3 linked regions of the Mus musculus genome follow. The protein of the gene in region 2 purifies or fractionates together with the protein of the main gene of each other region. This does not show direct contact. Links are inferred from orthologs where the notes say so. Each region holds a gene or a part of one and is shown on either strand. Other genes may lie near its edges.

Evidence for each region. Proteins that work in one complex are often made in the same cells at the same time.
Region 1: the proteins of Znhit2 (region 2) and Ecd purify together in Homo sapiens (affinity purification with mass spectrometry; 3 studies listed by BioGRID and IntAct, counting the BioPlex papers as one, with this or other methods). This does not show direct contact. The link is inferred for Mus musculus from reciprocal best matches to the Homo sapiens genes ZNHIT2 and ECD.
Region 3: the proteins of Znhit2 (region 2) and Tssc4 purify together in Homo sapiens (affinity purification with mass spectrometry; 3 studies listed by BioGRID and IntAct, counting the BioPlex papers as one, with this or other methods). This does not show direct contact. The link is inferred for Mus musculus from reciprocal best matches to the Homo sapiens genes ZNHIT2 and TSSC4.

The regions. Positions count from the first base shown.
Region 1 is NC_000080.6:20,343,149-20,350,759, forward strand, and holds the start of Ecd (protein ecdysoneless homolog), read right to left. Parts: upstream 4,974-7,611; 5' UTR 4,646-4,973; intron 3,674-4,645; 5' UTR 3,668-3,673; coding exon 3,463-3,667; intron 226-3,462; coding exon 108-225; intron 1-107. Other genes in the region: Fam149b (protein FAM149B1), read left to right, coding at 5,200-5,246. UniProt on the Homo sapiens protein: Regulator of p53/TP53 stability and function. Inhibits MDM2-mediated degradation of p53/TP53 possibly by cooperating in part with TXNIP. May be involved transcriptional regulation. In vitro has intrinsic transactivation activity enhanced by EP300.
Region 2 is NC_000085.6:6,058,085-6,064,444, reverse strand, and holds Znhit2 (zinc finger HIT domain-containing protein 2), read right to left. Parts: upstream 3,239-6,360; 5' UTR 3,219-3,238; coding exon 2,019-3,218; 3' UTR 1,977-2,018; downstream 1-1,976. Other genes in the region: delta(14)-sterol reductase TM7SF2, read left to right, coding at 247-366, 455-623, 838-918, 999-1,121, 1,372-1,532; Fau (40S ribosomal protein S30), read right to left, coding at 4,971-5,096, 5,246-5,301, 5,873-6,017, 6,120-6,194. UniProt on the Homo sapiens protein: May act as a bridging factor mediating the interaction between the R2TP/Prefoldin-like (R2TP/PFDL) complex and U5 small nuclear ribonucleoprotein (U5 snRNP).
Region 3 is NC_000073.6:143,066,718-143,073,760, reverse strand, and holds Tssc4 (protein TSSC4), read right to left. Parts: upstream 4,394-7,043; 5' UTR 4,248-4,393; exon of another isoform or gene 4,127-4,247; coding exon of another isoform or gene 3,941-4,126; 5' UTR 3,911-3,940; intron 3,826-3,910; coding exon of another isoform or gene 3,805-3,825; coding exon 2,851-3,804; 3' UTR 2,674-2,850; downstream 1-2,673. Other genes in the region: Trpm5 (transient receptor potential cation channel subfamily M member 5), read left to right, coding at 527-599, 964-1,030, 1,325-1,413; CD81 antigen, read right to left, coding at 6,387-6,449, 6,528-6,614, 6,999-7,043. UniProt on the Homo sapiens protein: Protein associated with the U5 snRNP, during its maturation and its post-splicing recycling and which is required for spliceosomal tri-snRNP complex assembly in the nucleus.

The sequences.
Region 1 (7,611 bases), on a different chromosome or scaffold from region 2:
AACAATTTCTGCCAGAGCTCAGACAAAAATTACTAAAAGAAAACAAATATAATCACTTATGCTTTAAAATGAGAATCCCTTTAGAATAATTAAAATAATGACAATACCTGGCCACTAACTCTGGAAATTCCTTTGTAATCTGCTTTATTACATAAACAATAAACCATTCATCCTCAATGTTATCTCCAAACTTTGTCATGCCGTACATATGAGCAGGAACACCTCCTGTAAACAAGAGAGAAGTGACTGTGAGCCAGGCAAGTGTGTCCCTGCAAGGAAAAACATACTTAACACTTGTTTACCATGGCTAAATTGCAAGGATTACTCTGGGAGCTGGGGTTGCAATTCTGAGCAAGATATGAGGAGTCTGGGTCTCAAAAAAGGAACAGAAAACCAAACCGTCTTTAAAAACCCACTAACGGTTGTGTGAACATAGAGGAGGCTCCTGCTTCATTTTGTACGGTAATAACAGCGGAAGAACAATCAGAGATGGACTTTCCAGAAAGGAGAGCATGGCCAGAGGCATGGAGTTACAGGAGATAAGGGAGTGTCACAGGATATAAGGATTCTGTTTCGGTGGAACAGAACCTCTCAAATAGGTGCACCCTAAGTACACAGATGCTAAACATCACATTCTTAAACAACCAAAAGCCAAAAAGAAAATCACAGGAGAAGTGAAAAAATAGCTTGGAACAAATGAAAAATGAAAGTATTATATATGAAAATTCATATATAGCTTTGTGGGAAGCCACCCCCACATTCGCCGTTACAAGATGGCGCTGACAGCTGTGTTCTAAGTGGTAAACAAATAATCTGCGCATGTGCCAAGGGTAGTTCTCCACCCCATGTGCTCTGCCTTCCCCGTGACGACAACTCGGCCATGGGCTGCAGCCAATCAGGGAGTGATACGTCCTAGGCGAAGGATAACTCTCCTTAATAGGGACGGGGTTTCGCTTTTGCTTTGGGCTTGCTCTCTTGCTCCTAAAGATGTAAACAATAGAGCTCTTGCTCTGCGCTCTGGCGCTCTGGCTCCTAAAGATGTAAGCAATGGGGGGCTTGCACTCTTACTCCTGAAGATGTAAGCAATAAAGTTTTGCCGCAGAAGATTCTGGTTTGCTGTGTTCTTCCTGGCCGGTCGTGAACGCGTGTAAGATAGCTTAGCAAAAATCATTAAAGTAACAGTTTACAGTTATGTAAGATCTCAAACCAGCACTCCCACTTTAGGAAAGAAGAAAAACATCAAACAAAGCATAAACCTAGCAGGAGAAACAAGACAATCACAGCAGAGATAAATGAAACAAACTGAGGGTTGTTTTTTTAAATGGGAGAAGAGGTCAGTAAAATTACACTAAGAAGAGACAACTAAATTCAGATGTGAAAGAGGAGACATTATACTCTCTCTGTAGAGTATAAAAGGTTACAAGGGAATCTATGAATGTCTTTATTCCAAGAAATTGGGAAAGCTATAAGAAATGAAATTAATAAACCCCTAATTAAGGTCTTGATGCAATCAAGAAGAAGTAGAAAGTATTATCAGACTTATAACTATGATGGATATTGGATCAGCAATCAAAAGCCTCTATCTAACAGCTGAGCATAGTGGCACACACCCATAATCCTAGCGCTAGGGAGGCTGAGGCAGGAGGATTGTGAGTTTGAGGGCAGGCTGAGTTACAGCAGAGCCAAGTGATCTCTCTGAAACCATAAGCAAAATAAGTCCTTAAGTTGATTTTTCTCAGGTATTTTTTTTTTATCACAACACTGAAAAGATGACTAACCAGATTCAACAACACATTGAAAGGGGTTATAATACTACAGTCGATTGGGGTTTGTTCCCGTACGACAAAAATGGTTCAACATACAGAGTCAACCAACGTCTCAGTGGCTGCTCTCCCAGAGGATCTGGGTGCAATTTCTAGCACCCACATGGTGGCTCACAAACATTGGCGACCCCAGTTGCCTCTGTCTGAGGGCACTGTGTGAATGACCTGTACTGACATACGTATGTGCAAACACCCAAGCACATAAAATAAACAAAAAGTTAAGGAATCAATCGATGTAATGTACCGCATGAAGCTCAGAGAAATGCACTCCAAGGCACCACAGCAACCATGGCAAAAACCAAGCCAAAGAAACAGAGAACCAAAAGATGTGAGAGGAACAACCTCTCAACTTAGCTGCTTCACCAAATCCCCTATCTCTCCAGCTAGAGGAGCTCAGAGCAGAGTACGATTTTCATTTGCATTATATATCAGACTTCAACTGAAACCTCCCCCGCAGCCACAGGAAGCGAGTGGCACAGTCTAATCTGTGCTGTACCAAGGCACCTGCCAATGGTGTGTGGAGCTCAGGGAAGTTCAGAAGCTGGAGTCTCCCACACTGAGACCAAGCCCCTAGTATCTGGAGGTGCTGACACTAGGTCTTCCTGCTCTGTCCCTCACGGCACATAGCAAAGCAAGGACTGTAAATTTGAAATACTAATCATCTTGGGTAACATTCAGCAATGCCATCACATAGTGGAAAATTCAGGGTAAGCCTGGCTTTCTAAAAGATAATAGGTTGTTTTTGTTTGGAAACTGACTCTCACTCTGTGACCCGGGCTGGCCTCAAACTGGTGATTCTCCTGCCTTAGGCCGGAGTGCTAAGATGACAGGTGTGTGCCACCATACCTGTCTAATGGGCTCGTTTTATATGTGGCACATTAATTTGCTCATCTCCCTGTCAATAAACATTGCCTGTATCTAGAAAATAAAATTAGGGTTGGGGAAGTAGCTCAGTGGCAGACCAGTTGCTTAGCAACGCACAAGGCCCCAGGTTCAATGCCCAGTGGTGGAAAAAAGTTCAGTGACAGTAATACCACAGGAGAAACCGAGCGGCTGCTAGCCAAATCTAACACATTAGCACTGAAGTGTGAACAGGAATGGCGGGATCCAAAGATCCAAGGCTCCCGATCCTCAACAGTCACTCTGAGTCACTGAGTAAATACAGCCTGGCTGCACTCATTCATTTTCATAACGTTAGAAGACATGACAGAACAGATGACTGTATTTTGCTAGAGTTGGACGTAAGCACTGGTGACAGCAGTAAAGGACACCGGAAATGCTTCTGGGTGGCAACGGACAGTAACAAAACCCATTTAGTTGTTTTTATTGGCCAGACAAAGTCACTCTTGGATTCTCAGGAAAACAGCTACATGAAACAAAGCAACCTCCCACAGGCATCATGGAGATAAGTCCTGCGCAGAGAAAAAGAACTGTGACTAAGTCCCAAGCCTGGGCCTTCGCAGCACCAGCACTCACACTTAGGCACAGTGAGAGAGTCCATACCACAGCCACAGTCCCCGCATCCCTAGCCATAAAGATATTCTATAGAGTTAAAGTTAGGGGCTTGGCTATATGTGGGCAGACGTCAGTGGCTTTTAAGGTTATGGAACAAGTCTCTCAGAAGGAAGGCTTACTTTACCTTTTGCAGGCTTGTATTTGAGATTGAAAGGCTGATTCTGCCAGATATAAGGGACCAGTATGGGTGCGAACTGGGTCATTATCCGTTCAATGTACTTCTGAAGAATCTCTCTGTGCTCTTCTGTGCCTCTGGCTTTATCTGGTATCAGGAAGAGATGGTACTCCACAGCATCCTCTACCATTGCGAGCTTTCCACTGCCCTCCATTCTTCTCTAAAAATGGCCATCAAAGTTCAAGGGACATAAGCCACACAAAAGGAGAAATAACAGCATTCTCAGAATTCTTCTAGGTGACTACATTATTTCCCCCAAATTTGATACACACCTACCATCATGGTTCCGGCCTTTACCAGACACCACTTGATTTATCCTCTGAATAACAGACTTAAAACTATCTTCCTTAAAATTAAATTATGTGAACTGGAAACCTTGATATTATGGAGTAAATGAAAGTCCAACAACTCACTTCCCAAACCAAAGAAGTATGTGAGGATAAAAGTTAAAAATAGCTAGGTGTGCCTATGGTCTCAGCTGAGAGATCAAGGCAAAAGGATCACCTGGGTCCAGGATTTTGAGGCTAGGCTAGGTAACATAAGACGATCCTTTCTCACAAATAAATAAATGTTTGCCCTTCAGTCGGCAGCAGTGTGTGTAACACAGTTTGAAAACATTCCATTACTATCCATTATTCTCTCACACCTTCCAACCGTGCTTCAGTCGGTGGCATACTTTGGGCACTTTACTTTCTTGAGCTTTCTACTTAGTCGTGAAATGAAAGTGTTAGTCTGCCGTCTCTAAAACACCTTCCTTTAAAATTGTGTTACTAGGTGCGTTAAAAAGCAATGCCCCTTGCTCTACAGGGCTTCTATAGAAGATTTAAAAGTGCCAACACTTGCGTGTCGGAGTTTCGTCCCAAAATAATTGGTCATGGTTCCGGATGCCCACCTAACGCAGCAATTTAATTCCTAAGCTTACTTGGCTTTGCAATGAACCAATAAGGAACCTGCACCTTCTATGCAACTACCCACTCACCACTGTAAATTAGAATCGTGCTGCCTCTCACCCTGGCGGATCAAGGAAAAACTCTACCCACCCTCACCCTAAATCCAAGCAGGGCTCTTTATGTAGAATTTACAGAGTCAGAATTGGACTTGAGATCATGGGAATTAATGAAAAATGACATACCCGAGAGTACAGAAGAGGAGCCACCAGGAGCACTGTCCTGGCGCGGTATAGTGCTCCTTCACCAAACTAGACGCTCTTCTTCCACCTGACAAAAGTAAAGCGATCCCTTTCAATAGCTCTCTCGTGCGCCTCTGCTCTGGCACCTTTCCTTGGCTGCCTCTTCCAGCAGGACACTTGGTCAGAGGCGACCACCAACCGCCCAATCCCGGCCCATGCTGGGTCCTCGCGTTCGCTTGGGCCCTGATCCACGCCTGAACGCCTGCAAGTCGTGAGGCTCGGAACCCTGAGTATAGTCTCTAGTGCGCATCGGAGCCAATTTCCGAAAGACGCTGTACCTTCGTCACTTCCGCTCATGAGAGGAAGGAGGCAGGTCGGAAGACTATAGAGTGGGAACTCTGGGAGGTGGCGGTCCGGAATCTAAGCGACGGGGCGAGACGGGGCGAGACGGGGCCGGTAGGTGGCAGGAGGGGGCCGGGCCGGAGCCGGCGGGAGGGCCAGGCCCCGAGGCCCCCGCCCTGGCTTGCCCGCCCTGGCCGCAGAGGAGAAAAAGGAGGATGATCTCCAGATACACTCGGAAGGCCGTGCCGCAGAGCGTGGAGCTGTGAGTGGATTGCTCTGCTCGCCCAGCTTGGGCCGCCGGAGCTCAAGGGACCTTATAAGGCCCGTCCTCTCCTTTCCCGTCCCAGACATAGGGAGGGAAAATACTATCCCGGATTCTCACCTCCCAGCCCTGGTGGAAGCTGCCTTTTGTCTTTGGGTCACCAGCTTAGGGTGTGCCTTTGGGACTGTTAGGTCCTGAATTGAGGGAGTGCTGCATCCGTTGTTCCCACAGTGCTTTTGACCCCACTGAAGATAATAGCTTAAATGCTACAATAACGTTGAACGTGTCTAGTTCAGAACACCATGCAAAGCTGTTTGCTTGAATGCAATAGCGAAATCAGGTTGAGACCAACTTTGCACATCCTACAAATAAAGATCACAGGTCTAAAGGTTGTATCTAGAAGGTGGTGCAGCTCAGACGTACAAACCAAGGGTCAATCCGATTGTAAAGCCTGTTGTCAAGCAATTCACACATTGCCGTCACACCCCCTGCAAATAATGCTAAAAAGCAAGCACTTTGGTAGTTTAAAAACCTGCTTTGTACCCTTAGTAAAGTGTAACATAGAGCCTTATATCTACTGACTGGTACTTTGCAATTTCAAAAGAACCTGCAGTTTCTTGGTCCTTTCAGCAGTTCTGAAAGATTGCTGTAACTAGCTTCTGTTGCTCAGATAAAATTAGAAAGCTTCCACATCTGAACCCAATAGGGCCTGAACGTTTAAACCAAGTCCCATTGGTCCTCCTCATTGAAGTAAGCAATTTCAACAGCCATACACTTATTATGCATTCCAATAACATTCATTTAAAGTCACACCTGAGATTTTTAGATGGATACTTTTCTTGCCACTTAGCTTTTAGGAAATTTAACTAGATCTGGGCCTTCCTGTCTATGTATACAACTAAGATGTACAAGTATACCTAAAATGATGACGTAGGGCTGGTACATAATAGATCCTCAATAAGTGATAGCACTACTTTCTTCTTCCCGCCTTTACTTGGTAAAAGAGCCATACAAAGAAGAGAACCTCTCCTTGCTTTTCAGAAGCATGTTATCTATTAAGGAATATGTTATTTGCACAACAGCAAATCAGATAATAAGCTCCTTAGGGAATAAAACTAAGAAATAATCATTTCCCCAAAGTGAGAAGGATTTAACTTAAAATCTGCTTTTAATTTTTAAAATTCCATTTAGTGTATCATGCACATGCGCGTGCACCATAGCACACATTTGTTTTTTTGATTTTTTTTTTTTTTTTTTTTTTTTTGGTTTTTTGAGACAGGGTTTCTCTGCGCAGTCCTGGCTGTCCTGGAACTCACTCTTTAGACCATGCTGGTCTTGAACTCAGAAATCCACCTGCCTCTGCCTCCCAAGTGCTGGGATTACAGGTGTGCGCCACCACTGCCCGGCCCATAGCACACATTTGGAGGTTAGTAGACAGCTTCCAAGAGTCACTCATTCCATTATGTGAGTCTTGTTGATTGAACTCAGGTCATGAGGCTTGGTGGCAAGTACCTTTATTTACTGGGCCATCTTATCAGCCCCAGATTTGCTTTTATAATTATTTCTAACCAGAGATGTTAAAAATACATGTTGTATGAAGACACTCTGGATAGGCATCTCCTGAGCTGAAATTTCTGACCCTGTGTATTGTACTACTTGTTCTTGATGCTGTTTTTTATAGTTCCTAAAAATAGCCTTTCCCAAAGGGAATCATAATAGAGTGAGCAATGAGGATTAAATGCATAGAAATGATAGTGTATTTAAATGAATGTTTAATGTTAGCTGTTACAGAGCCCATCCATTTTGAAGTAGTAGCATTCTTTAGCAGTTACTAGTTATAGATGTTAAAAAGGGGTTAGCAAGGTTGATTGTCTCAGTGTAGTCTCCCACACCCTTTTTTGGTTCTGAGAAATGAACTTAGTACCTCAGATATGCTAGGAAGTACCACTGCTAAGCTATATTTCCAGCCTTGACTTTCATTTAAAATTTGTATTTACACATATAAGCAAGGTGTGAGGTTTGTGTGTGTGTGTGACCACCTCAAAATGTAAAACATTCATAATTTTTTAATCATCTACCTGCTGGGCACTACTCCTCTGGAGTCTATTTTCTGCTGGGGCTTGTCTGCTGGAATAAACAATACATTAGTTATTCTATCTTCCAGACATAGTTATCTAGAGCAGGCATTGTTTCCCCACAAAATTGTCTAGTCAGACATACCCAGGAGACAAGGTAGGTTAAACAGAGGCTTACAAGTTTCTCTGCCCACACATCATGAATCCCTAGTGCATGCGTTTCACTTAAAACAGAATTAAATAACTGCTTATGATGTATGATTAGCTAAGTGAGAGTCAGTGTTAAATCT
Region 2 (6,360 bases):
TACTCCTGTTTCCATATGGCAGTGGGGACGTGAGTTTTAGCAAAGAGACATATTCTGCCCAAGTGATAAAGCTCAGATTCCAAGGCAGGAGTTTTAAGTCAAGGCAGAGTCGCAATCCAGTGTGTCTCGAGTACACGACCTGGATCCATTCAACATGTGAGCGGGCAGCTGGAAGGAGGGCGAGGTCGGCACTGTTCTACCCAGATGCTCCACTTCAGACAATGGCCCTGTCCTCACTTCCTTTAGGTTTTCATTAACCTGGCCCTGCTGATGCAGGAGGCAGAGCTTCGGGGGAGTCCTTCCCTGGCTATGTGGCTGGTCAATGGCTTCCAGTTGCTGTATGTGGGTGATGCCCTCTGGTATGAGGTGAGACTGGATTGGAGAGCAAGAGGCAAGCAGGGGATCTTGAGGATGTCATCTGGACTAAGCCAGTATCTGGGTCATGTTCCTGCAGGAGTCTGTCCTCACCACCATGGACATAATACATGATGGTTTTGGCTTCATGCTGGTCTTTGGAGATCTAGCTTGGGTACCATTCACCTACAGCCTGCAGGCCCAGTTCCTGTTGTACCATCCACAGCCTCTGGGGTTGCCCATGGCCTTGCTCATCTGCCTCCTTAAGGGTCAGTAGGAGGGCCCTTCATTTCCCCTTCCCCTTCTATTCATGCTTTATTCAGTACCCCTCAGGTAGGGCCTAGGCTCTGACGCTTCTCTAAAGCTGGAAGCCAGCTCCTGGGTATCATAGCAGAGCCTGGGATTTGGACAGGCTTTGGTCAGGGTTAGGCAAAAGGCTGGGACTCCTACCTCACCACCTGCTCGTACCGTACCTTCCCTCAGTTATTGGTTACTACATCTTCCGAGGGGCCAACTCCCAGAAAAACACATTCAGGAAGAATCCTTCTGACCCCAGCGTGGCTGGTAAGCTGGGTCTCTTAGAGGTTATGGGTGAGATGAACCAGGAAGGCTCTGTGGTTCCGTTTCATTAGCTGTATTTCTAGGTCTTGAGACCATCCCGACTGCCACGGGGAGGCAGCTGCTGGTGTCTGGGTGGTGGGGTATGGTTCGACACCCCAACTACCTGGGAGATCTCATCATGGCTCTGGCATGGTCTTTGCCCTGTGGTGAGTGGGTTTTGGAGTAGGTCGGTGTGCCTGGTGGGAGGACTGACTAATCAGTTAATGGAGGTGGACACAAAACCTATGACCCGACACCCTGTGTGCCATCAGCTGTGAAAGCTTTTATATGAAATGGGTGCTAGTGCCTGATCATGCAGCCCCTTCCCACCAGGGCTATCCCATGGGTCCCTTCCCTCCAGGGCTATCCCATGGGTCCCTTCCCTCCAGGGCTATCCCATGGGTCCCTTCCCTCCAGGGCTATCCCATCTGCTGCCCTACTTCTACGTCCTCTACTTCACTGCACTGCTGGTGCACCGCGAGGCCAGAGATGAGCAGCAGTGCCTCCAAAAGTATGGCCGTGCCTGGCAGGAGTACTGCAAGCGTGTGCCTTACCGAATCATACCCTATGTCTACTGAAGCAGGTCCACCTAAGAGGTTGAAAGCAAGAGGAAGCCACTGCTTCCAGAAGGAAAGTATTTTTCCCTGTTGAATAAATGTTTTCAACCTTTCCTGTGTTTTTCTTCTATCCTGGGGCCAGTGACTTGAGGCTTGGGGGTGACTAGTTGACTAAGGAAAGCTTAGAAGTGGTTTGTGGGTCCAAAAGTCTGACGAGGAGAGACAACTGGGCACCTCAGGCCTGGGGGATGTGATGTAGTTCAGTTATAGAGTGCTTGTGTAGCACACAGGACGCCTCGGCTATTCAGCACTGTGTACATTAGCAAGGTGGTTAACCCCTGTAACCTCTCACTGTCCAGGTGGGTGACAGATCAAAGTTCCAGGGTCATCCTCAACTACACAGTAACTTCAAGAGAAGCCTAGGACAGGGCACTATCTTTACGGAAAAGGCACTGCTGACATTCGGGCAGACCAGACACATCTTTATTAATGACATGGATACCCAGTTCAGCCAGGGAGTTCCTCAATGAGAGTCCTTGGAGTGGGTGGCACTGGGCCTCCCCAAAGCCGTTCTAACTCTCCAGTAAGCGTTGCCATCTCCTCAGCTGTCACAGCATGGGCTCGGTGGGCTCTGGCACAGTCTAGCGCCAGGGGTGTGAGGGCAGCCTCGTTTTCGTTGGTCCAAGCCAGCAGGAACTGGCACTTCTTCCGAGCCCGGTAAAGTCGATCTCGCTCTCCACCAATCACAGCCTGCTTCCGGGCTCGTCCCAGGGTCTGAGCTAGGTGCCCCAGTGCTGTCAGAGTGTAGCCTTTCTGATTGACTGGACCCTCGCCCAGCAGGATTCGGGCAACTTCTTGCATAGCACCCCGCGTACCCAGGGGCCCAGGTGGGTGCTCGCCCGCTTCCAGTACGTGGGCTGCGGCCTGCAGGGCTTCCTCTGTAGAGCCAAAGACTTGCTGGGCTCCCAGGGCCCCAGAAACATCGAGCAGGGTGGCACAGAAGTCAGAGAGTAGCGCGTCGTCGTCCCCTCCATGATACAGGGCGAGAGTATGAGCGTAGGCGAACAGCACGTTGGGCAGCTGGAAGCGCACCAGCGGCGATGCCGGGCTGCGGCTCAGACTGGCCAGTGCTGGGATGCGAGCAGGCAATGCTAGCGGTCTGGCGGCACAGGAGTCTTCAGCAAATGGCTCTGCGGCAGCGGCATCATCCCCAGATTGCAGCGCGGTCCTCGCAGGGGCGGGCTCCGGCTCCGCAAGATCTCTGTTCGCGGCATGATCCAGCTCCTCCAGCAAACGTGGGCCGGTGCCGCGGCCCCACCACCAGGGCCGCCACGGAGGCAGAAGGCGTCCGGCTTCGCCACGGCTCAGCAGCCGCTCGAACGCCGCCTTCTCAGCCGGCGTTAAACGTTCCCAAAGTCCAGAAAGGCCGCCCGGCCGCGCCCCGGGCCCGAGGCCTGCTTCCTCGGGCTCATCCTCGGCCTCGCGTTGTTCGCGCAGCCGGCGTAACGCGCCCGCCAGACGGCTGGGCGAAGCGCTTCGGCCACGGAGCTCTCGCAGCACTTGGTCGCGGTAAAAGTCTTCGGCGCAGGCGCCGTGCGCCCGGTAGCAGCGCAGCGAGCAGTAGGGAGCATTGCAGCGCGGGCAGGTGTAGCGCGCAGGCAGCGCTTCCCCGGCCGGGCAGAAGCCGCAGAGCCCAGCGGGCTCCATGGAAACTGGTGCCGCCTGTCCCGTATCAGCTCCGCCACTTCCGGCGCTTCTTTGGTTATTTCCGCCTTTATGTGTGGGGGTGGTTGGCGGGCGTGGCCTCCTTTCCGCACATTTCCGAAACTTCTCGGTAACTTTCGTGTCTCCAGTACTTCTTTGAGCAAGCGCAGAAGTCGTCCAAACTCTTCCAAAGGAACAGGTTTGCTCGCCGAATTTGGGAAAATCATGTCGCTAATCCCAGTTTGTTCTTTATGGTTGTACCAAATTGTACAAAAATAAACTACCTTTTAAATAACAAAACTAACCACCACCACCACCAAACAACACACCAGGGTCTTAGCAGGGCGTAGTGGCATACGCTTTTAATCCCAGCGTTGGCAAAGGTAGTCTGATTTCTGTGAGTTCCTGTAGTCAGTGCTTTCCAGGATACAGCTACATAGTCATGCTCTATCTTGAAAAAAGAAAAGGCCAACAAAATAATAACAACAGGCCGGACAGTGGTGGCGCACGCCTTTAATCCCAGCACTTGGGAGGCTGAGGCAGGCGGATTTTTGAGTTACGAGGCCAGCCTGGTCTACAGAGTGAGTTCCAGGACAGCCAGGGCTACACAGAGAAACCCTGTCTCGAAAAAATATTATTGATAATAATAACAGACAAAAATAAATGAATAAACCCGACATGTTTAACAAATCTGGAGCTCAAAATACGTAACACGTAAGCATATCAAATTGAGGCCAGCCTGGGCCTATGTGAGACCCTGAATCAAACAAACAAACAAACAAAAAACAACAAAACGATAACGAGGGGCTGGAAAGATGGCTTAGCAGTTAAGAGCACTGACTACTTCCAGAGGTCCTGAGTTCAAATCCCAGTAACCACATGGTGGCTCACAACCATCCATAATGAGATCTGATGCCCTCTTCTGAGGTGTCTGAAGTCAGCTACAGTGTACTTACATATAATAAATAAATCTCTTTTAAAAACCAACAATGTGGGCTGGTGAGATGGCTCAGTGGGTAAGAGCACCCGATTGCTCTTCCAAAGGTCCCGAGTTCAAATCCCAGAAACCACATGGTGGCTCACAACCATCTGTAATGAGATCTGACTCCTTCTGGAGTGTCTGAGGACAGCTACAGTGTACTTACATATAATAAATAAATAAATCTTAAAAAACAAACAAAAAAAAAAAAACAATGTTTTCCCTCAAGTTGTGTTGAAATTTAGTTTGTATTGTTAAGCATTATGAGGTCTATAGAGGGGTAGATGGGTGATCTGCCTTAGTGGATCATCTATAGGGCATGCCTGTAACAAAAACACTAGTGCCGTCATAATGGAAAGTGAACCAACACAAACCCAAAAGCTGTCTGGCAGAGCCCATAGAATCTGTACCTTTCCAATACCACTTGTCACATTTCTGTATTTCGGCTCAGCTATCCTTTCAGTAAACACATCCTCTGTGATCTTCTAAGGATTCCTTGTTTTTTTGTTTTGTTTTTCAAGACAGGGCTTCTCTGTGTAGCCCTGGCTGTCCTGGAACTCACTTTGTAGACCAGGCTGGCCTCCAACTCATAAATCCACCTGCCTCAGCCTCCCAAGTGCTGGGATTAAAGGCGTGCCCCACCACTGCCCCCCCCCTTTTTTTCCTACTTGAGACCAAGGCACTTTGCTAGCCTCTAGTCACAGCCTTACAAATGAAGAAAACATAAGAAGTCTGGACACAGTGGCTTTATTAGCATGGCAGGGTGGCAATAGGACTTAGGAATTGGCATTGGGGCCCTTCTTCTTCCCAAAGGTGGGCACAACATTGACAAAGCGCCGGTTGTACTGCATTCGCCTCTTGGCCCGGCCTGTCTTCTTCTTCTTCTTTTCCTGTTTGGCCACCTGAGGAAAGGAAGGACTGATCAGACCCTGGGTGACCTCTCCCATGCCTGCCCACCAGCTTCTCTCCATAAGAGAACACAGACGGGAAATCCAAAGGCCTTCACTTGGCTGTGATAGAAAGAAACAAAGTCCAAACACCAATCACTCACCTTGGGAGTCTGACCTCTCACTTTTCCAGCCCGAGCCAGGGAACCGTGAACTTTACCTGTGTTAGGGGTGGGGAAAGGGATCAGGTTAAGTAGCAAGGTCACGCCCAGAGCAACTCTTCCTCCCTCAACTCTTGAGCTTTTTAATGACAAGTTGGGCCCAACAAAGAATGAAAGTTGCACAGGCTTAGAGACAGGGTCACAACATAGCTGTCCACGTCTTGTCTTCCACTTCAAGTCACAACCAGTTTGTGCAGTGCTGAGAGCTGACAGATACTAAGGCAAGGACTCTAAAAACCAATCCATACTCTTAGCTAACATTCTACACACAGAGCAAAGACAGGAGGAGCACACTGAGAACCTAATAACAAGACTTTAATTATTATTACTTTCCTTTTGCTTTTTTCCTAGACAGAGCTCCTCTGTGTAGCCCTGGTTGGCCTGGAATTCACAGTGATCCGATTGCGTCACTGCCTCCCTACCACCAGGTTTTAGTGGGGATACTGAAAACCAGACTTAACTATCACTACGATCTAAAGTCCCTAGAAGGCACAAGTATACTATCAGAGAAAGGACCTATCACATGGTTTACCTACAGACATTCCATTAGCTCTGAAAAAAAGCACTCACCTCCCAGCATGCGGCCTGCTACTTCCAGAGTGGTCAGGGCCTCTACGCCACACTGGCCTAGGGTGGCCTCATCCTCCAGCGGCGAGCCTGCCAGAAGCACGACTTGATCTTCGGGGGCAATGCCTTCCAGGGAGGCCACATGATCCTTAAGGAAAAAAAGGAGCAATGTTTATAAGTAGACAAACTTTCCCCGTGGGCCTGGAGGTAAAGGAGTGCAGTTAGGAATCAGGGATCAGTACATACTTACTTTGATCTGGGCGACCGTCTCCTGGCCGGTCACCTCGAGGGTGTGTAGTTCCTGGGCGCGGACAAAGAGCTGCATGTTGGCTACTGAAGGAAGAAAGGCTTGTGAGTGATGATAGGGAGCAGCCCAGGAGAAAGGTCGCGGTACGGTAATCAAGGCGGGGGATTGCGCGGTCTCCCATGCGGAAGGCCAGGCTCGCCGGGGACCCGGATGGAGACGGAGCGAAGGCCGCAGAACCGCCCTT
Region 3 (7,043 bases), on a different chromosome or scaffold from region 2:
GGGATATCTAGCCTTTTCAGTAATAGGTGGGGTTTTCTGAACCACCTTAAGGCTGGGTGAGACCATCTAGTGCCAATAACAGGACCTCTGAGCTGGGGAAACATGGCTGGGTCACAAGACCCAGCCCTCTTGCCCTAGGAGTGTGTGTATATGTGTGGGTTGAGAGCATAAGTCCATAATTAGGCATCTCTCTCCAATGGGACTCTTTTCCTCCTCTCTCAGGTCTGAAGATCCACGCCCAGTTGGTGCTAGATGGTGGAGGGGCTGTTCTTGAATGCTTATAGGGATGACCTAGTGTTCATCCTATTGCTTGGTGGCCTATTCCAAGCAGGGAGGGGATCTCAATCTCTTTGAGGGTACAGCAGTGCTCCATATCCATAGACAGGCCCCAGATAAAGACTGGAAGGGCAGTAAAGCAAGAGGCCAACAGTTAACTGAGGCCCTGAGAAAGCAGTTAGGACAAAAAGCTCCCCCTTGTGGAGTGACATGGAAGTGTCACAACTGAGGCTGACCCTGCTTTCTACAGAGTGGACTTGATTGCCAAATACATCGGGGGGCTGAGAGAGCAAGAAAAGAGGATCAAGTGTCTGGAATCACAGGCAAGCTAGCAACTCACTATCCATCTTTCTTCCTGGGGTGGGGGCATCCTTCTGGTTCCATGGGAACTACCACAGCCCTGTACCAGCATCCTGGTGGGTAGCATTAGGGCCTGGATAGAGTGGCCTGCCCCTGCCCCAACTCACTTTCGAGACTCATTGTTGTTCTAGAGCTGGTCCAACAAAACCTAGGTTCAGCACCACATCCGGTCACTATCCCTTATCATGCACTATGGGAGGACCTGGTCCAGAGTGTGGAGTCCCAGGGCAGCAGTAGCCCTGGCAGGAGGGCAATCACATGGGAGGAAACCAACCCGGTCCCCCCAGTCCCCACCGAAGTCTCAGTACCTCCCTTGGCTCTCTCCAGGCCAACTACTGTATGCTCCTCTTGTCCTCTATGACGGATACACTGGCTCCAGGAGGCACCTACTCAAGTAAGTATGGGTTCAGGCCATGGGAATGAGATGGGTATGGGCTCCTCCCTTCAGCCACTAGATTAGGGCAAGAGCAAAGCTGCGGGCTGTGTATTGTATTAGGTCCTGCCTTCTCCACCTGTGCTAGAGGTCGGTTACCCTCGGCAGGCCACTGTTCCTTAGTGTCCCAAGGCTCTGCCTAGCACTGGCCTTGCTAGCCTTGCCACTTTCCATGTCCTGGCCCTTGCCTCACTCCTGCCCTGCCCCAGCTGAGGCTCTCCAGCTGAGGGTCCTTTCTCCCTTTCTTGCTCCCAGGCTCTCAGAACTGTGGTTGCAGGAGTCAGCCAGCCTCTGCTAGAGACAGGGAGTACCTAGAGTCTGGCTTGCCACCCTCTGACACCTGAAATGGAGAAACCACTTGCTCTAGAGCCCCAGACCTGGCCACATCGAGTTTTTGGGGCACATCAACCTTCCCCCACTCCCAGCAGCCCCAAGAAATGGTCTTCAAGGCCTTGCTACAGATCACTTCTTGGACATCCCTTCCTAAGAGAATGAAACTCATGTCTTTGGCATCTATTCGGGAGCCTCAGAAGTATCCTCTCCAGCAGGGCAAGATTTTTCATGTCCCACTAAAGCTTTCACTGGCTTGGACTGGACAGCTGGATCTGGCCAAGTCCTACATAGGACACCATCTGCCTGGATGGGGCTATTTAGGTCTAACCCCTGTCTTACCCTGAGTTCCTAAGAAGCCAACCTCTTAAACACTAGGTTTCTTTCTGACCCCTGACCCACTCATTAGCTGACCAGCTCCTAGAGGGCAGGACTCAGATCTATTGTAATTACCTCCCATCTTTCACCCCCCACAGCATTATCTGTCTGATCATTCTGGCAGAAACCCCAAGATATTGCTCAAGGGTACCCAATGCTACTTTACTTTCTATAAAGCCTGTAGACCACCTCAAATCAGCTAAACTGGGCCACAATGGTGGCTAAACGGGACATTTCAAACACCCGGGGAATATGGAGGATTGTCTGACCTAGTGAAAGGCATCTCCGTTCCTTCCACTGCTCCTCAAATTAAATGACCATCCAGGTCCTTTTTAGAGGAACTCAGAGAATGGGGACTACAGAGGCTGGGGCAGACCTGGGTCTTAGCAGGTCTAGCTAACTTGGTCCAAGTCCCTGGCCTCCACAGGAAACATTCGCTCATGCATCCTCCCTGCATCCTTCTCTTCTTCTCTGGCTCAGCTTCAGTGGAATGACCCAGCATCAGCTGTGTCTTACACACACAAGTCCTGGAGACACAGCCAGACACCAACCATATGCTGCTTCACAACTCATCCTCTTCCTATAACCTGTGGTCTGTACAGGCCCAGTGCTGGGGCTGCATTGGTTTCTGGGGGTGGGGGTGGGGGTGGGTTGTGCAGATTATGCTCATTCACTACCATCAGGGGCACAAGGCTGAACACAGCTAAGAGCCCAGTCCCTCTGGGTAGTTTCATCAGTGACAAATGTAAATGACCATGGCAAACCTTCACGGCAGTCCTCACTGGAGTGGGGAAGGCAAGGTGAGGCTGCCAGAGATGCAGTCCTGTAGTTGGCTGCCCAGGACTGTTTGGACAGAACTCTTTGAGTGGGGCCCGGAAAAAGCCACACAATTCAAGAAATATTCCAAACGTTTATTATTCATCCTAAACACTGGGGCACAAAGGCCTTCGAGGTCCCCTGACCCACAATTCCCACAGTCTCTGCCAGAGCGGCTGCACACATCCCCCTACCACAGACAGCCCACACCTTCCCACTTGGACTAGCAGGTGAGGGGTAGAGTGATAGCACTGCAGTCAAACTGAGGGTCCTCTCTCAGACCCCGGCCCCCCAGGGTTACCGTCCCTGTTCCGGAAGTGGTCTCTGCTCCGCTTCTTGCTGCCATGGAAACCAACAGCCTTCACACCTATGGGGCCTGATGAGGACTCAGGATGGGCAGCTTCTGAAGGTACCACCACCTCTGGCTGTCCCTGGTGGCCACTCCATTCCTCAGCCTCAGGTCCAGCGAGATGGGCTAGCTCCACAGCGGCCTCACCCCCCGCACCTGACCCAACCCCCTTCTTTAGGACCCTCTTCCTCTCAGCCCTAGCCTCACTGTCCCTCACTGGTTTGGTGAAGACCACTCTTCCCTCCCCACAGCTAGAGGGGTCCTGGTTGAAAGAAGGCACATAGTCTGTGTGGGACACCTGGCTTCGAGAGCTCAGGAAGGCCAGGGCAGCATCACGATTGCTCTGCTCACTGGCTTCAGACACATCCTCCAGACTGTATTTGGTCCAACGCTCAGGGTGTGACACATAGTCAGGGACTGGGAGTACCCTAGTCGGGCCAGTGTTCCCATGCACTCTGCTCAGGCCCCTTGCTGGAGTCTGACTTGGGGGAGTCACGGGCCGCCTGAAGCTGCCATTGTCACTCACACTGGTTTGGGGAGCAGAGCACGGTGCCTGCCGGGCTGCACTCTCCAGACAATCAAAGATGCTGTGGCTGCGCTGGGAGAAGGTAGAACTCATGCCTCGGAGGTGGAATGGCTGCACTGCAGTGGTGAGGGTGCCCGTGGGGGGCGATGGAGGGTCCTCAGGGCCGGAGTCCTCCTGGCCCTCCTCCGAAAGCCTCTCTGGGGACAACACTTGGACCTCCACACCACTAGGTAAGCTAAGGTCCGAGTCCGAGTCGCTGAGGGAGACGGTGTCAGAAGGCAGGGTGTCATCCTCGGTGGGTTCATCAGCCTCCAGGCCAGCCTCTGTCTCCGCCATACGACCTGACACCCGTCCCACCTGTAGCGAAGCAGTCCCAGTTCCGCCGTGAGGGGTGTATTTAAGGCCTCATCCCTCCCCGTCCTCCCAGGCTCCCGTCTTTCACCTCCACTATGTGTCAAGTGCCTCTACTCACAGCCGGACGGGAGGCCTCGCGAAGCTGGGTGGTTAAAGGGTATCCTAGCGCGCACAGATACAGGAGCTGCAGGTTAGGTGGGGTTAAGGAGAGAGTCAACCATGAGATCATAACAGTGTGGACATACAATAGATGAGCACTGGGAGATGCTGGTGACAGGAGATCTCCATCAGCTGCTTGTCCCATCACGGGCTCTCAGTAAAGCGCAGCCTCTCTAGGTACAAGCGCCACCCGGGTCCGGACGAAGGGCTGGCAGAAACAGGCACGGGAATGCCCTGGCCGCGGCCTTAGGGAGGCCAGTGCTCACCGTTCCAGCGTCCGTACACGCCTCAATACCCTGCCGCCTTTCTCGCAGCGTCCCGCCAGTTCCCCGGGATTCGGTCCTGTCCAGTCTCGCTCGGGTTCCTGGGAAACCGAGTCTCGGGCGATCAGATTTTCGTGGCTTCAGCGCCCGAGAAACTACAACTCCCAGAAGGCAATGGGTTCCCGCCTAATGTCAGCCGGGACTTGTAACCTTAACAAGCGTGCCAACCCGGAGCGCACACGGAAACCCACCCAGAAATGACGAAAAAGGAAAAGGCGGAGCCACGGTTCCCACAATACTCCAGGGCTAACTGCCAATCGCAAAGGGTTGAGGCCTGCAGCTTCGCCTGTCGGAAGCCGTCCCGGCCGGGTCCGACACAAGGAGGAAGTGCGTCACCACGCACTGTGAGCGCCAACCAGTTTCCTAGACATTTCCGGCCCTGGGCGGAAGTGGTGTGGGTCTTGTGCTTTGTTGGCTTTCTGGAGTGAGGCGGGGCCAAGGTCCTGGTTGGCTCTTGGCATGAAGAGACGTAGTGGTCCCTGGGGTGGGTTGGTTGGGGCTTCAGAGATTCGAAGCCGCTATCCTGGGCTCTGCCTGTCTGTGCTTCCTGACGCAGGAACGGACACTTTAGTTGCAGGACGCCGCCCCTACTAGTCAAGGCCACACATAATCCTCCTCCAGGCGTGGGGCTGTTTTCTTGTATCCTTAGGGATCAGAGTCTGAGACACCATGGGGCTGCTGCATGCGCCTCTCCTTTCCTATGTTTCTGAAGCTGTGCAGCAGGCCTCCAACAGCTTTGGCCTGGTGCCCATGGACCTCATAACATAGGATATAAAGGGCTCCTCAGACCAGAAACCAACCAAGCACGGAACAGGTTGCATAGGCGTGGGAGGTAGAGGTGGCGGAGACCTAGAATGTCCTAGTACAAGCTTGGGGTTCACCGACAAATAAGCCTACTGGGAGGCTGCTAGAAGCTGGGCCATGAATCTTGGCTAGGGCGTCTCTCCTCTAGTGGCCAATTAACTATGCCAGCAGCCTGGGGGAGGGGCGCAGACAGGAGACAAAGGGAAAGAGACAGTGGTGGTTGCCCCTGGCGTCCGGGAGGTTGCTTAGCCTGATCCTCAGTTCACAGGGGTAAGTGAACTGCCATCTTGCCTTTTACTTATTGAGACACAAGCCAGAGCCACCCAGCTCCGTGGAATCTTTTCTTGAGATGGATGGGGTAATGGGCTAACCTTTACTGTCTTGTCCCTGAAAAGGAGGGTGTTCTTGCAGCTTATCTCCATCATTCTGTGCTGAATTTCCCTGCTTAGGTGGCTCCTCCTACCCGACTCAGCCTGACCTGTCATGTCCAACAGATGAGTGGAAATGAGGTCAAGGCTGGCGTAAAGTCAGCATTGAGCTCCCAGTATAAGGAGGTACAAATGAGGGAGGACCCATATGGAGTGCTCCCAGGGTCCCAGCCCTCCCCACCCACTGTGTTCCACAGCCTCTATTGGACCTGCTCACCCTGTGCCTGGCAAAGTTCAGAGCTGATGAGCCAGGTCTCTGACACCGCTAGCACAGGAAGAGGTCTGGCAGTCCCATTAGCATGCCTGATTTTTTTCCTCCTTTATTAAATGACTGTTTCAAGATTTAATTACAGTTGAAGGTGACACGTTAGAAAGAATAAGTGCATTGAAGGCATAAGAGGGCTTACAAACCCAGCTCTTGAAATGGAGGCAGGAAAGGAACAAAGATTAAAAAGATGTGAGCAATGTGACCCACAGTGGGTTGAGTGGGTGGGCATGGCCCTCTAGCTAGGCTACAAAGCCTCTGGGCAAGTAGCTGTAGAGGAGGTTTGGCTCAGCAGGCAGAACTCTCCAGGGGTCCCAGACGTACAGGGCCCTGCAAGCCAGGGCCAGCTCCACCCCTACATCCCACATATGCCACCCATGTGTGATGTCAGCTCCCAAAAGGTAACAGGAAAAGTTCAGGACAAAAAAAAAAACTAAAACAAAAACAAAACAAAACAAAACAAAAAACTCAAAAGTAAAAAGACTAAGTGTAGCAGAGTGATACAGAAATATTATATACACAGGCCATGTCCCCCAAGGTGGCCTCTGGTCACTCCAGGGATCCTCTGGTGCAATGCAAAGGGCCTCAGTACACGGAGCTGTTCCGGATGCCACAGCACAGCACCATGCTCAGAATCATCTCAAAGATCTGCAGGAGGGAGGGGCATAGTCAGCACCTAAGGCCCTGGGAAGGATCCCACCCACCCACCAGAGACCCTGTGCTTACCATAATGACAGCTACCACAATGGCTGCAATTCCAATGAGGTACAGCTTCCCAGAGAAGAGCTCATCGATTTTCTGATGACAATCTTGCTGCAGGGATGGCAAGAGCGTGGTTAACCATCAGTGGCTAAGTCACAGCCACCACCCTACTCAGTGACAGGACCTATGTATCACAGCTTATCTTCCACCCCAAAACAAATTTAAGACACACGGACCTGCTGCCTGCAGCCTTTTGTCACAGGGGAGTGTTTTTTTACCTCACTAGCACCCTAGGGTCACCAGGGTATGAGGGACCACTCAAGAGAACAGTTTTCTGGGATGTTGCAGGGGTTAACTCAAGCTGTGAGGACCCGGTACCCCAGTAATAGAGATGGTCTATGGGACTTCTGAGGTCTTGCTCAAAGTGCTGATCTTCCTGATTGGCCACACCACCCTACCGACCACCACCACCACCTCATCCCCACTCCATGCTACCTGCAGTAAGGGGGTGAGTATGTTGCCGCCTGAGGGACACAGGCT